Caenorhabditis elegans: one gene and its partner. The protein of the gene in region 2 purifies or fractionates together with the protein of the main gene of each other region. This does not show direct contact. Each region holds a gene or a part of one and is shown on either strand. Other genes may lie near its edges.

Evidence for each region.
Region 1: the proteins of uggt-1 (region 2) and pbs-5 fractionate together in Caenorhabditis elegans (co-fractionation; one large-scale study listed by BioGRID). This does not show direct contact.

Annotation. Positions count from the first base shown.
Region 1 is NC_003279.8:14,717,422-14,723,679, forward strand, and holds pbs-5 (Proteasome subunit pbs-5), read right to left. Parts: upstream 3,057-6,258; 5' UTR 3,042-3,056; coding exon 2,638-3,041; intron 2,587-2,637; coding exon 2,252-2,586; intron 2,051-2,251; coding exon 1,935-2,050; 3' UTR 1,746-1,934; downstream 1-1,745. Other genes in the region: Y54E5A.8 (Conserved plasma membrane protein), read left to right, coding at 1-97, 145-258, 817-1,090, 1,467-1,564; K05C4.2 (Protein jagunal homolog), read right to left, coding at 3,300-3,560, 3,610-3,918; sol-2 (CUB domain-containing protein), read right to left, coding at 4,500-4,705, 4,750-4,855, 5,294-5,772. UniProt on the Caenorhabditis elegans protein: Component of the 20S core proteasome complex involved in the proteolytic degradation of most intracellular proteins. This complex plays numerous essential roles within the cell by associating with different regulatory particles.
Region 2 is NC_003284.9:7,493,059-7,503,255, forward strand, and holds uggt-1 (UDP-Glucose Glycoprotein glucosylTransferase), read right to left. Parts: upstream 7,925-10,197; 5' UTR 7,919-7,924; coding exon 7,794-7,918; intron 7,749-7,793; coding exon 7,660-7,748; intron 7,613-7,659; coding exon 7,482-7,612; intron 7,428-7,481; coding exon 7,164-7,427; intron 7,115-7,163; coding exon 6,551-7,114; intron 6,502-6,550; coding exon 6,412-6,501; intron 6,369-6,411; coding exon 5,732-6,368; intron 5,676-5,731; coding exon 5,440-5,675; intron 5,394-5,439; coding exon 4,480-5,393; intron 4,432-4,479; coding exon 3,913-4,431; intron 3,861-3,912; coding exon 3,116-3,860; intron 3,039-3,115; coding exon 2,871-3,038; 3' UTR 2,636-2,870; downstream 1-2,635. Other genes in the region: F48E3.2 (Major facilitator superfamily (MFS) profile domain-containing protein), read right to left, coding at 1-27; try-14 (Peptidase S1 domain-containing protein), read right to left, coding at 876-974, 1,203-1,256, 1,302-1,394, 1,481-1,596, 1,648-1,792, 1,845-1,971, 2,256-2,362, 2,408-2,506; F48E3.6 (DUF4220 domain-containing protein), read right to left, coding at 8,638-8,883, 8,932-9,108, 9,202-9,450.

The DNA.
Region 1 (6,258 bases), on a different chromosome or scaffold from region 2:
GAACTACTACGAGATACGTGGCGGAAAAGAAATGACACCGAAATTGGCGGCCGAAATTATTCAGAGTATGGGAAAAGACGCCGATCCTAGGCTTAAAGTTTGTCTCTTTCATATTTTTTAAATCGAAAACTATTATTTTTACAGGAAAAAATAAATAACAAAGAATTCTACTGGAAAGCCGTCGAACCAGGTGGCTCACGTGTCATTTCTGCTTCACTTCCACCACCGCCTACGCAGAAGAAAGAGCAAACGTCTACGGTGAGAATTTGCGCGTCAAATCTAGTGTTTTCGGTTATTTTTCCTTTGTGGACACAATACACCACATTTGACGCCAAATTTTTAAAGATAATTTTGCAGTTTAAAAATTTGTTGGTACCTTCAAAATGAACCAAGAGATATCCCCTGTCAAAATTTTGCACATGGTGCATCGACTCTGAAAAAGCCAGCTTCCGTAAAATTCCAATTCCCGCTGAAAAATGAGATATTTTTTGAATTTCAAATAATTTTCCAATTTCTGTTATTATGCAAATTTCAAGGTAGATGAAAAGATTCGATTGTGGTGGGACCCGACAATTCTATTATTTATCATTGGAGCGCGGTTACAGAGTTTTTAACTTTTTTAAAAATTTTGCCGATTATCGGTTTGTACGACGAAAATATTCTAACAAAATGAAAAAAAAAAAAAATATTCGTGACTATGGTAGCTTAAATGTTTATATCAATTTAGATAACGGCAGGACCCAACACCAACAATTTATATTTCTTTTAACATTAGAGCGCGCATGCTGACCACTTACCAATTTTCGATTTTTCCAGCCAAGTTCCTATTCCTTCAAGCCATCTGATTTCCCGTGGATTCTTGTCGGATTACTCTTCTGCATTGGAATTTTCATGGGCGTCATGCTTACCGCTTGTTACCATTTTATAAATAATATGCAAAAGGAGCCACAATTCGATCGTTCCAGTGCCATTATATATAATAAAGCTGGCGATAGTGTGGGCTCCGAGAGCCGCCGTCCGATGCTTCCCAGGCGGAGAGAGCAGCAAATTGAGCTTATAGAACGGGCATCTGTGGCACCTTCTATGTCCTGTAAGTTTTTAAAAAAATATTATATTTTTTTCACAAACAAGAAAAATGAAGTTTGCGCGTCAAATCTGATGCATTTTGTGTGTCTTTGCGTACTTTCCGATTGAGGACTCAAAACATCATATTTGGCGCGCAACCTTTGTGTTTGATCTACGGAAAACTTAGTTTTGGCAAATTTCGAACTACCCATTGACTTTCTCAGCCAAAACTGTACAATCCAAAGCTGTCGAAAAAATTAGAGAAAGTTGCAAAATATTCCTGGGTACGGTAGCTAAAATATTTAGATCCTACTGATACCCATTACTCTTAAAATCGCACTTTTTCTCAATTTTAATGGAAAAAAACAATTCAAATAATAGCACAATTAAACTATTTCCAGCTGGAACACGAATAGGCCCTGCGTGGCGGAACACTAATGGGACTCCAGCTGTTATAATCACCACGTCATCAACACCCAGCCGACACATATCGCTTTAACTTGATTTTCACATTCGAAAATTGCAATAAACTTTTGAGTGTAACTCCATCTCAGTATCCCTCTAGAACTACTTGATATTAATGTTCCAAAAATCCAATTTGTGCCATGTGATTGAGAGTTTCTTCCAGCCACCCCTGTTGTCGAGGGAAATTCTAAATTCTAAGCCTAAATTCGGGATTTCGAACTTGAAAACTTTAGAACTTAATGTACAGAGAGTATTTAGCAAAAGAAGAATAAATTAATTGGAAACGAAAAATAGAAATAAATGACATTTTAAAGACGGGTGTGTATGTAAAAAAAATCGGGATCGGATCAGACATCAAATACATGTAAGAAGAATAAAATTAATTTCAGCGTAGGGAAATTGAATCACTCGACTGGGTTGTAGGTGATATCTCTGCCGAGCTCATCGGCAAACTCGTACCACAGCTTGCTCACGTCCATTGGTGGAAGACGAATCTTTTCGGTTGGCGTGATGTGGCACACTGAAATTTGGAGGATGAAAAATAGAAGCGATTAGATTAAAGGTGGCCGGAGATTTCACAAAATGAACCAATTTTTTCATTTATCCGAAGAATTTTTTCGAATAAAAATCGTCTAAAATTTAAATTTTAGACAAAATAAAAGCCATTTTTAGTGAAAAATGGTCCATTTTGTGGAATAGCCGAGCAAAAAGCTTCACGTACAATTGCAGACGCCTCCGGATCCAGAATCCCGATAAGTGGCGTGCATGATCGCACGCAGGCCGAGCTTTCTGGCCTCGTCGTCCGTCATCTTTGGCTTGTAGTGATTATCGAGGATACCGTAGGCATTCAGAGATCCTGAGCCAACTGAGCACACTTTAAGCTGGCAACGATCTCCTTCCGAGTCGACTTTGAAGATTTGTGGTCCCTTCTTATCGTATCCGGCCACCATCGATCCAACTGACAATCCTTGTCCTCTGTATCCATAGAGCGTATTTGCAAAGTACTTGCTCGCGGCGCTCACGGTGATTGAGGTCTTCTCGCGGAGCTCGTACAAACTGAAAATAAATAATTATTTTTGTTTTGAAGCTGAAAATATTGAAACTCACGTGCAGTACTTGGCGACAATTCGGGTCCAGAACTGACAGTCAGCAGCTCCTCCAGCCATCGTGGCAACCATACGATCTCCGATGTCCAAGATCTTCATGACCGACTTGGATGAGATGTATTCACCACTGGAGGCTCGTGAATCGACAGCCACAATGATTCCTCCCTTGTCAGCTGGAGTTGCTGGCTCGTAGACGAACGCCAATGTGGTGGTTCCTTTGCGGAATTGCATGGATTTTCCGGCGGTCTCGGCGAAGTGAGTCTTCATGAAATCGACGGGCTGGATTCCCAACGGAAGCTTCGCGAAAGTGAAATCAGCTCGAGCCGGCTCGGCGATCAGGTTCTGCTTGGCCATTGCCATCTCTCCTTCGTCATTCTCGAAATCGTCGAATGTCTCGCCCCACATCTTTGGAGTTCGATTCTGAAAATTGATTTAACAAAATGAAACAAATGCAATCAATATTGAAACAGAAAAGTATCAACGGAACTGTAGAACAGTAACCGGTAATTAGAAAAAGTAAGAAAATAAATAAAAGATATGGAATTATTAATTTGGCAATAGAGACTAGCAGGAATTTGAATAAAAATACTATTAACAAGGAAAAGGTACACAACTCAACAAATGGGGGAAAATTGAAAAATAATATCACAAAACGGAGAAAATTTAATCTCGCTTGACTGGAGCCCATGCGGCGGCAAGGTGATGCATGAAGTACATGGAGAATCCGTGAATCTGGAGTGCGACCGCGAAGAAGATGTACCATATGATGACCATCGGGAAGATTCCTTTGAATGTCGGTGTGTTGCTTCCCTCCATGTCTTGAGCATACTCCATCAGCTCTGGAAGTTGTCCTCCAAGCCCGATCATGCATGGGAAGATTCCGACGACGAACTCGGCATAGTAGGCGTAGTGGAGGATCTTGAGCTGAAATAAGAAGTTATATTTGTGGCAAATTGATCAATAAATAAATTACTTTGTTTCGTTGGAACGAATAGATGGCGAGGACGATCGGAATGAATGAGAAGCACCACACATACTCCCATGGGTAGGCTGACGGCATGTCCAGTCGATCGAAGAACGCGTTTTTCCATCCGAAATTTGTTCGGAGGAGTTCGCTGCCAACCTTGAGCCACATGAAGACCAGGATCAAGAAGTGTGGAACGAAGAACCACTTGAGGATCGACTTGTATTGAGCGCTCTCCTGGTAGTGCTGTGCGACCCTCTGCCGATTTTGGAAGTCCGTCCCATCGGTACCCGCCGCTCGAACTCCTCGTGATGACATTCCCGCTTGAAGTGAGCTGAAATAAAGATATAATTGAGTTTCAAGTGATTAAAAAGAGAAATTAAGAAGAAACAGCGAAGAATAACATCTGAGCTGAAAGTATAAATTTCACAGGTCCCAATATCGACCAACTCTACACATTCATCAGTATTTCCATAGAAAGAATGAGAAAACTCGTTAAAAAAGCGAAAACCTGCGAAAGATATAGAAAATTTTGTTTTAGTTAGTTTTAGTGATGACAAAAGATGACAAAAAGACGAGTCTCCGCCCCTTTGCAATGCGCGCGCGCGGTTTTCGCAATATCGCCGCACGGAGTTGCCGTTATTTTTCTTTTACTTTCCCGCTGATAAAGAATTAATATTTCCATAATTCTTTCTATTCTGCCAGGCAAAACACTTGAAAATTGTCGAAAGTAAATAATTTATATGTTTGAATAATGTTTATTAAAGTTTCAAATTAAAAATAAAAGAAAAAAGCTCCGTTACATTAACTGAAAAGCAATTTTAAATTATAAAATTGTGAAAAATTCGATAAATTTGTCGAGCGAATCGCGAAAACATTCACAATTCGCTCTCTAATAGTCACCGGTTCGGCTGTATCCGTGTTGTAATCGAATTATTATTCATATTTTTACATTTCCCATTCTCCGACGCGGCTCTTCGTTCCCGAATCATCACCCGAAGCCGTCGCCGCTTCCTGAACTGATCACAGCACACCAAGACGAGCATCGTGAGCACAATCAACGAGAATCCGAGTGCCGCCGATGTTATTATCTCTCGGGAGTAACCTGGAAATTTTTAGATCTTGGATTTTACTGGAAAATGAGCTTACAGTGTTGCTCGTCGGAGAAATCTCCTTCAACACAATTATGGATTCCGTCACAAACGAGAGAGCTGTGAATGCAGAGACGGGACCGTGAAGCGCAAATTCCATGACCCTGAAGTAGAAAAAAGTAATTGAAAATACATGGATTTCAGCATTGTGGCAATTCAATTTGTTAAATATCAAAAATACAAATCACGAAAAGGCTAATTAATTTTTCTTACAAAACAAAATTTATTCTAAATAGGTTCTGTTCAACTTTAGAATTTCTCCTTTTTTTTCGAATATTCAGACTGTCGAATTTATGTTTTCTCCCGTTCAAAAATCAATTTTCCAGCTCGAAACTAGCAAATGTCGTGAAATGGGATGTTTTTGGGTACTGTAGTTCCGTTTGCGTACTTTAGTGACTACACTAACCCAAAATTTTGGATTAAATAAAAAGTTTTGTAATTAAACAACTCTTTTTTTTTGAATTTATGATTCAAGTTAATTTCTAAAAAATAACAAGGAACTACATATAGATTCATTGAAAACATTCTGATTTTTCACAAACCTGTTCAACACAAACTTGTCCCCCATGGCACATAAATTGATCCTTACAAGAATTTCCATTAACACTCTCATCACCTTCTCCAATCAGACCCTCCACTGCAGTCCATACAACTTTAAATCCAATCCTCTCTTCCCCAATCATTGAAGACGGTGGTCCTTCCTGTGTAATAAATCGTACAACAATTCGATTTGCACTTGATAAATAGCTTTTCATTCCCTCTTCTGCATAATACAGCTGACTTCCACAGAATTTTGCTTCAGACGTCTCTGACGTGGATTCCTTTCGATCAATTCCATATTTTTCATGTTTATATCCATCGATTATTGTTAGTGATGCTCGTTCACATTCTGCAATAGTGGGGGCCAAGTGTAAATGAACTATTCGAATGTAGATTCGTTGTCGGGCTTCTACACGGATCAACCAATTACACGTGGAATTCTTCGGATATGTGGTTGGATAGCCTGGTGACAGTATTTCACCTGAATATTATAATTGTATAATGTAGAAGTTTCAGATTTTAAGTTTTTTGAATTTCTTATGGTGTGTCCATAGTCTGCGGAAAACGGGAATTTCCCGCGTGCGGAAGCGTCCATAGTCTGCGGAAAAAAGAAGGAGTTTCTCGCTTTGTTATTGGTCAATTTCAAAATAGTGGGCGTGTCCAACAAATTAGAGGTTGTAAAATTTTAAGCTGAGCAATGGGAAAGCGAAAAAAGACCACGCCTACTTTTTTGAATTTTGAGGAAAAAAAAGCGAGGAAACTACGGTTTTTCCGCAGACTATGGACGCTTCCGCACGCGGGAAATTCCCGTTTTCCGCAGACTATGGACGCACCATTACAGAAATAGTTTTATAGATTTTGAAATTTTGAAATTTCAAAAAAAAAAATCACCTGGTGTCCGAGTATTTTCATTCCACGGCCACGTAGTAAGGTAACAGTTTTTGCAACGTAGCCTAGAAAGAAACAA
Region 2 (10,197 bases):
GAGTAGTTTCCAATTGAGTTTTTGCATGTTGTCACTGGTTCTGAAACTTTTTCTGAAGAAGTGAATTTTCAATGAAAAAGAAACAACTTAAATAAGCCTTTTAACTACAAAATACTGAAAGAAAAAGCTGAGGAAATGGGCGAAACCAATGGGAAATTCATTTTCTATGGCAACACAGAACGTGTATAGTTGTAGCATAGAGTTCAAAAGAGCAGACATCAAAACGCACGGCTTCAAAGAATTTTTGAACAGACAACTCATTAATTAGAATAAGCTAAACACTTATTTATTTTCTACGTTTACTTAGTTTTTTGGGTAAAATTTTGGTAATTGTGAAGTATACCAGGTTCAAAAACATTTTGCAATACATTTTCCGTTCATTTCTTTATAAAACAATTATTTAATTAAAAACTGAAATTGATTTGTATTTCCATGCTCAAAAAACACTGATCCCGAGGATAATATGAACACAAAGGGTCACGGACACATTTTCAAAATGGTTAACATTTTTGGGCTAGGTATGTACTACACAAGTACCGAAATATAAAACATTCGAAGTAATGAGAAGTTCGTTGTTTCAAAAAAATAGAATGTTTCTTTTTCATTTTTTCTGCAACAAACATCTGATTGATTTTCAAACACAATTATTACACTAAAAGATTCTTGAAAAAGACCGATGTTCATTTAGGTTTTTGCAACAATTTTAATTGAAACCAAAGGATAGAATGAAAGATGCAAACGTAAGAATAGAAGTACAGAGCAAACACAAAATGTGCACACGAAAATCAATACGTTATAAGGGACCAACAAGTGTTTATTGCATCATAAAAACATTTATTTCAAAGGGAATGAAGAATGAAAAAGTGGAATTTAAATTAGAAGCATTTGTCCTGTGCTTCAAAAACGCTAGCCTTGTCCACATTCTCAATAGCATGGACAAATGTATTGTCGCTAAAGACAACAAATTGCATGGTCTGGAAATTGATAATATTGGAAATCCACATAATGGAGAAGATTATTTACTTTGCCCCTTGCCCCCCGTTTCTTTTAATCTCATATTTCCTCCCGAAAGTCCAAAAGATGAGAAATCAATCACCGGCGTATTTTGTTGTCTGATAAGATTCTCAACACTACAAAATGCGGTTTTTTATAAAGAATTTCTATTACGTAATGTATTCAGAATAATTGCTCGTTGATTTTACCTGAACTTCTGAGCAGTTGACAACCACCATTGTGCTGTTGTCTTCCTTGTCCATCTATAAAAATCATAAGTTTAAAGACAAAATAAGCGATAAGCCTACCTCACGCCCGTAGAGACCAGAAACAATTCCTACTTGAACATATTTATTGTTTTCTACATCCAGAACACATTCCAGTGGTGCTCCTATATCATCCTGAATTTGAACAATTACTTTTTATAAAAACTAAGTAATGCAAAGTTTGAAAGTGTGTATTTCCAAAAAACAACAAAAACGCTTACCCAGCAAACACGACCTGTAGAGTTACTGTTAACTTCTGAGAACATGAGATTTTCTGTGTCAGCGTGAACATCAAGATCCAATACTTGGACTTTGTGTGAAGTAGCGAAGTCTTCCACTAAAAATATAATAACTTATTTAGTAGCTACATAGTTTTGTAGTTACGAACCATCTTCCGTAGTTTCAAATCCAATCACTCTACATTTGGAATCTTGAAGATCCCTTGGCACAATTGTACGGTAAGTAGCATCAGTCAAGCTTGGTTTGAAGTTGAGCCGTGCAACTCTTGGTGGGTGTGGCTCCTTATCGCAAAACTATAAAAATAATTTCTCTAATAAGAGTTGCAAATACTAGAGTCTTTTTTACATGATCTTCATTAACCGCATCGATTTTCATCAGAGCCAAGTCGCCGTCAATTTTCACAGCAAGCATTGCTTTGTTCATGGTAGCAGAGGAATCCTTCTTTTTGATAATAGCTTGTGCAATAAGGTTCCTAAATAAATATTAAATTGCCTTCAAATAAAAATCCATTTCAGCGTTTCTTCTAAACCAACAGTTGCTATACATATATTTCTATAAACTATCTCTGGCATAGTTTCGTCTAAGTTTTCAATCGAAAATTGTCAGCACATTCCGCACAACAAGCCAATTCACGAATCTTTTGCGTAGTCGAATTCAGAGCAGAAAAAGTGTAAAATGTAAGAGACTATAATGCGCTATGTTCGTTCGTAAGCTTCTTATTTTGCTACGGGAATATTTAAAAATTTGAAACCATACTTTCTGGTGTCTGGGAAACATTTCGAGCTGGTTAGCACAACGGATGGAGACAAAAGAGTTCCCGTGCAAGTTGAGATATTCTTCAGTTTGGTATCCTTAGTGAGTACCTGAACATAAAACATAAAATTCGAAGCGAGTTGAGCAAGTCTTACCTTCACCAAGTACTGATGGCGTTCCCATTTTGCCGGGTCCGCAATGTACATTGAAAACACGAATGCAAGTAGAGAGGAAACGATGACCGCTCGAAACATCTTCTTTCGATCAAATGATTCGAATGAGGATTTGACCCGACGAGCATCGCATTGATATTGTTGTAATATCCGCTTTCAGAAAAATCAAGCAAATGCATTCTTTAATACACCCACACATCAAGAAAAAGAAAATATTTATTGGATAGAGAGAGGCAAAAAAATGTTTCAAAGATTCATCACAAGTTTGACAATATTTGAAAATGAAATTTTGAAAGCTCTCATAGTCAAAAGCTAAAAAATAAATAGCAGAAAAAGCGAATCGACTGATTTGGAAAAAAATATACCCAGAGTTTTGAATATCATAATGGTGATTGGAAACATTTTCAATAAATAACGGGTAAACTTGGCATATGAAAAGATTAATTTAAAGTTCCGTGTGAGAGTCATCATTTTCAGAAATGACATTATCCGAAGGGTTATCAGAAGAATGTCCAGAAATGACTTCCCGGATTTCGTCATCATACGTTTTCCATTCTCCAATAATTCTGGCGGCTGAGTCGAGCTTTGGCTCTTTTGTGAGCGGGTTGTTGCACTGAAAATTGTTAATTGTTCACGGAAATTTAAAACAGATCAATGGCACAGCATTTCAGTTGTGTTCAATCAACTTACCAAGTCAATAGTCTTTGCATTCTTCTTGCTTCCATCATCGCACCAAGTCTCACACCAAAGCCACTCTTGTGGAAGCGATTTGATCTTAACCTGATGGATCATGTTATTTGGCAAGTCTTGATCCAAGTTAGCCAGACTGTTTGGATCGCCAGATAGTCCTTGATATTGTCCACGAAGACGATCTCCGGCAGCGATTTGACGGAACTTTTGAAGATCAATAACGTAGAGAGCACTAATGTGATATCTTCTCCCAGCGAGATGGTTCGCCCAATATCCTTGCTTCCAGAATCGGAATCCGTCCATCTCCTTTCTACTTTCACAGAATGGCACATATCCGTATGGCGCATTTCCAAGATCAAACTTCATCAGCTCCATCAAATCAGCACGCACCACCTGGTCAGCGTCCACAAAGATCACCTTTTGAACATCAAGTGGGAAGAGTACATCAAGGAAAAGAATCTTGAATCCCCACATAATACGTTGTTTCTCCTTCTGCTGGTGAAGCCACCTTGGCCACTTGTACTCGATCAGTTCATACTCGAAACCATAGTGCTTGGCAAGAGTTGGAAGTGTCTCTTTGAATTGTGGCGACAGGTAGTTCTTGAGAAGCCAGAATTTAACTGGATGCTTCGTGTTCTTCATGACCGAGACAATCATGATTCTCATGAACCGTTCGTACAAGTGACCGGATGCGAGAGAAAATACATTGATCACTTCCTGGGTTTTTTCTTTGCTGCTCACCAAGCTGAAAATAACATTATGAGATTATTTCAAAAGAGTTTAAACAAAATGCTTACTTGCTAAGACTGCTCCAAACACCTTCTTCATCGTCGGAAAGAAGATTTCTCTCCTCCATGCCTTCACGTTTTTCAACACGAACTCTTACTGATTTACCAGTGAATGAGTCAATAACAACTTGAAGCACATCCTCCCCAATCTTCTCCGCTCCAACATGCGATCCAATCTTGTAAATCTCACTAGATTTTCCATCACGGATCTCTAGTTTCCAAGCACCAGGATTTGCTTTAAGTTGGAAATATCCTAAATTAGCCATAACGATTGTATCAAATTGTTTAGGGTTCTTGTCCGTTCCCAAAGTGAACTGCAGACCGCGTGGTGGTTGACCACTAACTTCGTCGAAACACTGTCCATCGAGAAGTAAGTGTTGGAGTGCAAACTCGGCAGTGACATCTCCGTTGGCTTGTTCCATCTTGATGTTATCCAAATCATACTTGGCAGAAACGGCTTCCACTATCCATGAGTCGGGAGCTTGCAGCGAAAGTGTCAGAAGTTGCTTACTGGGAAGATTATCGAACCTGAAATTGTGAAATTGAAATTGGTTTTATTAAATAGAAAGTATTCACCTGACAACATTTGTGTTCAAGTTTCCATTGTGATCGAAACTCAATTCAGAAGCAGCAGCGTATCTGTAGAATCTCTTCAACGGAAGTTCAGAGTGCTTATCTTTTGGATTCATCACAATTTTGATTTCGCAGTTTGTAACCTTTTTAATCAAATGGAGAATCGATCCGAGTTTTTGTGCTTCCATAGTGAGTGGATCAACAACGGCAAGAACGTCAACAGCTGGTCGATCCATTTCATCAGCTGGAAGTGTGACAACACTGTGCTCATCTCCTTGGATGCTAACCCATGTGCGTTTCTGTGAAGAAGCGTGCTTTCCAACGTGTCCAGCAATCGAGAAAACCGTGTTTGATCCAACTCCGTTGGAAACGTCAAACTCCCACTTCTTGAGATGAGAAGAAATAACTTCAGCACCTCTGCTCAACAACATACTTTCCAAAAGTTTGAAATCAGCAGCTTCGAAATGTTCTGAGCTTTCAAGAGGTCCAACTTGGAGAGCATTTCCAACAACAACACGGCCACCAGATGAGATATCGAGTACTTTTTTCACAATCTGAGACTCCAATCGAGTTCTTTCACAGTCAAGTTTCTTCTTATCGGCAAGGAATTTAGCAGTATCCATACCACCAACACTAAGATCGTCAAATGTGATTTTTCCAGAAATGAAGTCAGCTGCATACTCCTCATTGCTCAACTTGAGAATCAATCGCTTAGCTTGGTCCATCGGAAGAAAATCAAGAGCAGCTCTAATGTACGAAGAGATGCTGTTTGACTCGCATGCCTTTTCAACACTTTCTGGATTGAAGATGATTCCAACTCTAGAGTTGGCAGAGTTTTTCAATATTTGAAGTGAATTGTAAATGAAACGACGTCCCGATGCAGCCTCGGCGTCAGCGACCACCCATAATGTGACTGGCTGAAAATTTATATGCATTCAAACTGAACTGAAGTAAAGTTCTTACCAAAATAGAATCGGCTGATGCTTTTTGTAAGTACTTTGTAGTTTGGAGAAGACATCCAGCTTTGTCCGAATCCGAAAGGTTTTCCACATCCTTCAATGATTTGCAATCCATTGATCCAAGAATTTCAACATAGGTCTTCTTGCTTGGAGCGGATAAAATTCGCTTGTTAATTCTTGGCATGACATCCTTTTGTTCGAGAACCCAGTTTCCAACATTCATACGGTCGGTCAGTTTTCCTGAAAAGTAAAGAAAAATGTAAAGAGGAATCGAGAGTGCTTTAAAAAAAGTATACCTTCCATAATGGCTCTTTGGATTTTTGGAGAGATCTTCATAACTTCCATCATAATAGTCTCTTCAATATTGTCGCCGCGAACCCCTTCATCGTCCAAAATGAAACCGTTGAGGAGAACCTTCGGTGCCGAGTTAAGACCAGTCTTTTGCACAAATTCAAATCCATGCTTGCGTCCTTTATCATAATCAGAGTTGACTCCAAACACATCGGAGAAGCTGGCATCACTGAATTTAGCCTCGAAGAATTCTTTGATATCCTCAATAGTTGGGTCTTTAGAGCGATAGTCATCAAGGAAGTTGTTGAGAACTTTCAGTGCATCGGCATTTGAAGAGTCGATGGAAACAAAGTTGAAGAGATTGAGAAGGGCAACTCCAAGATCTGTTTCTCCACTGGCTTTAGTATCCTGGTTAACAGCAAAGATGTATCCGATTCTCATAGCAATATCGTGACTGTTAAATGTCTGCCCAATTCTAAGGAATTTCCGGCCTTCGGAAGTACTTGGATCCACTACGAATACCAAACTGAACAAATTACGTGCAATTGGTCGGATCATTCCCGGGTAGTATGGTTGGAGCATAAGCTTGACACTGTTTCCCCATTGTTTGTACTTTTTGTCAGTGTCCAGATTATTGATAAACTGAAATTGGTTTTTGAGAAAAGTATTTTCTTCGTAAGCTTACGAATGGATATCCCTCTCTGTGATCGACTGCATAAGTTGTCTTCTCATCATCAGAAGTGTCCATTCCAACAAGAATTGACAAATACTCGCGCTGAAATTTCTTTATTGTTACACTTATTTCTGTATTCATGGAAACTCACGTTAATTCCCATACTATGGAAACCATCGGCGAGTTTATTCTCTTGCTTGAGGAGATCAGCTAACTTGAACAAATCAAGGCTGTTAATATCTTGATTGATTCCATTGATGTACAACGATGTTTCTCCAACTTCAATGCTTGCCTTCTCTAGCATCTTGCGATTTTGGAGAACCTCTTTCCTTAAAAGATCTGAGACTGACGTCTTTGCAAGAGCACGAGCATGAGTTGGGAAGTTTTGGGAGTATTCCTCCAGAGTTCCAATAGCATCAGCTGGCCCTGCATTGACAATTTTCTGCGCTGCTTGGTAACTGAGATCTTGAAGTTCCCATCTTTTCAATGGAGTCAATTCGTCGGATTCCTTTAGGTTCACACGGAATGATTCAATGGCATCTACGGAATCTGGGTGAAGTTCTTTGAGAAGTTTAATGTTGAATCCAAAAAGATCAGCTTCGTCTTCTTCTACATTTTTCTTTTCACTGCTCTCGTCGACAGCCTTGTACTCCGTGTTCTTGATAGCAAGTTCTACACCGTATCCGGAAAGTGACACTGGGTGAGAATCAGTTTTCTGAAAATACTTCCTTAAAATGGGGTTTCATTTTCCATTTTAAGTATACCTTTGAAAAATGACGGAAAATGAGCTTGGTCTTTTGCAGTTTGCTCAACTTTTCCCAAGCTTTGGCGAAAGAAGTTGTACCCAGCTCTCCGTACAAAATCGCTGCCTGCTTCAAATCCTTCTCACCAAAAATATGATCCGACTCAAGCACTTGGCTGTTCGTTTTTGCGTCCTTGATCATTTTTTCCAGCTTAGTGTATTCACATGAAACTTGTTCGCCGACCACGACAAAGACATCACATTTCTCTCCATATTCAACAGCAATCTGGAGAATTTAATGTTTTTCATCTAATAAAATTCATTAGTATAAAGAAATCACCTGCTGGAAGGATTGAACACGTGGAGAATACTGGCGAAGAGCCAAAGCAAACTTGAGAAGGTCCACAGATGATGTTGACAGTACTTTGCCTGCCGTCTTGATTGTGTACTCGTATTTTTGCTCATCCGTTACTGAAAATCAAAGATATCATATTGCCGATTATTGACAATTCACTCACATTTTTCCCAATTCAATGTACCGACATCTTTGTTTACAATATCGATGAATTTTACAAACAATTTCTCATTTTCTTCCGCGATGAACTCACTGAAAAAACGCTTCGTATTTTTTCTAAGACTTTTAATAACTAACCTTGCTTCGGCTAAAAGTGACGTTGAATCCCAATTTGCTTTAAGAGATGTGTGAACTCCTTTCTTTTCGAGAGCTGCGAGAACCGCAATATGGCAAAAAAATATTAATAAACCTGTTAGGTTCATAATTACCTGGAAAATTGAAAATTTCATTTTTTTAAAGTTTCTTCACAGAAAATAGCAAGACAAATAGAAAGAAATGTGTTATTTAAAAAATAAAATTCTAAAAATGAATAGTTTGTGAATGCGTGCCAGTAATGCTGACGTCGGCTCAATAAATGCGTCAGTGATCGCCTTTGCACGTTTGGTGGCTGTGCACAACCACGTCGGCCACGCTCGCAAGGAAACATGAGGGAAGGGGGCAACGAGAGTGTTCATCTATTCAAACAAGGAGAGGATTAGAGAAAAAGGGAATGTGGAAAGAGTCTCCATAATTAGATGTCGAAAGGCTGCTCTTGAATAAAAACGTCATATTATCGATTTGGAAACTCCTAAAAATTATAATTTTTGTTAAATGCCTATGTACTGGAATATACTTTGATAGATTTTGAGTTGCAAGGAACATTAAGACAGAATACGTTTATTTATATTAAAAATATTTGACAAAAATACTGAGATGAGAAAAACTGACATTTTAAAAACCAAAAAAAAATGCATTAGAAATGAAAAGTTTTAGATGGGAAATTTGACGTGAAGAAAAAATTCCATCTGATTATCAAATTTGTATATTACTTATTTATGTACAATCTTTTGATTAAAAAATGATACAACAAATTGTAGAAAAACAAAAAAAAACGTTTTGGTTTCCCTTTAGCAACATCTTTAGAAATTTATTTAGAAACTATTCAGTTATCACAATTATCTAACGTCTCATCACAATCATCCTCTCCGACTTTTTCCCAGTCTTCATCTGAACTTGAATACTCGGATTGGTTAACTTCGTCACCTTGATGAGATATGTTGTAGTTGAGTTTATTGTACTCTTTCTCCCAATGGATATGAACACGAATGTCGTTAACCAGCACAGCATACAAATCTTTAATACTTATAGCAGTTACAACGTTGTAGTACAGGTTGAACAGCCATCGGTCCTGAAACAACGATATGATAAATGTATGCCAATTATGCTTAAAACATACTCCTGGTTCTTCTGATGGTATGAACGTTGATATGTAAGCTGTTGACGCTAAGATGCTTAAAGGCATAACAAGCGTCCAGCGGTAAATAAAAACACATTGTTCGGCTATATTAGTTACGAATGAAACGTACACCATCATCATCACAAGATTTGATATGACAAACAAGGAATATGAACCCTGAAATATGATTTTTTGAATCATTAAAAAAAAATGTGTCTAATATAAAATATCTAATATCTGGACAAAAAAAAGACGAAATTCACAACTCACTCTTGGGTGCCAATTCCATTTCCAAATAGTAACTTGACAGGCAGTACTTATACCAATGACAAGAATATATCCTACAATAAGGCTTCTTTTCCATGAAGTACCAAGTTCTCGAAGGTCGCTTGGTCTAGTTGCAACTCGCTTTTTGATGGTTGAAGCGCAAGCAAAAATACAGAAAAGTGCAGCAATTAAGGGTGCTGGATAAAACTCTTCAGGGTTCCATAGATTCTGTACCGTACTGGGTTTGCCCATGACAAAACTGATAGCTGATGTAAAAGTTATCAATGGGCCAACCAAGTAACTGTTCGAATATTGCCATTCAGCCATTTTGTGCCGAAGTCTCCTAGTAGAACGGAACACCCAAATGAATAGGAAGAACAGTCAGCAGACGAGAGCAGAAGGGGTGGTCACTTAATATGAGAAGAGGGTCGTCAACACATGACGACGTGGCAGATGTCGCTTATCTGCATCTGCTCAGAGACAAAGAGACAGGTGAAGAGAGCAAAAAAAAACGATAGAAAACTCCGATAAACATAAAGTAATTCAGTTATTCAATATTCAACCAAAAAAAAGGTTTTGTTAGGTTCGAATGTTTTGAAAATCCGAGTTGTCTCTTTTGAGAGCGTGAATAAATCGTTCCAGTTTTTATTGAATATGTTAACACTCTGAAAAACACTGGTAGTAGCTGATATCACATGCCAAATGGCAGCGTGTGAAACTTGAAAACTGAAGGAAGTGAGAAAACAAAATGTCGAGCTTCATCTAATAATATGATTTTGGGTTTTGTGCCCTGTATCATGTTTTCTTGGTAATTGTGGTTTTTGCCTGGCAGTCAGATTTTGAAGCACTTATTATACTTTCTTGTAAATATATCGTTTGAGAATATAAACCGGGATGAGATGTTCTGAATATTATTTCAACATTCAATGAAAATATTATTTTACTGAAGCCTTATTATTAAACCGGGATTTTAAACAAAAATAATTGAAATCGCAACGA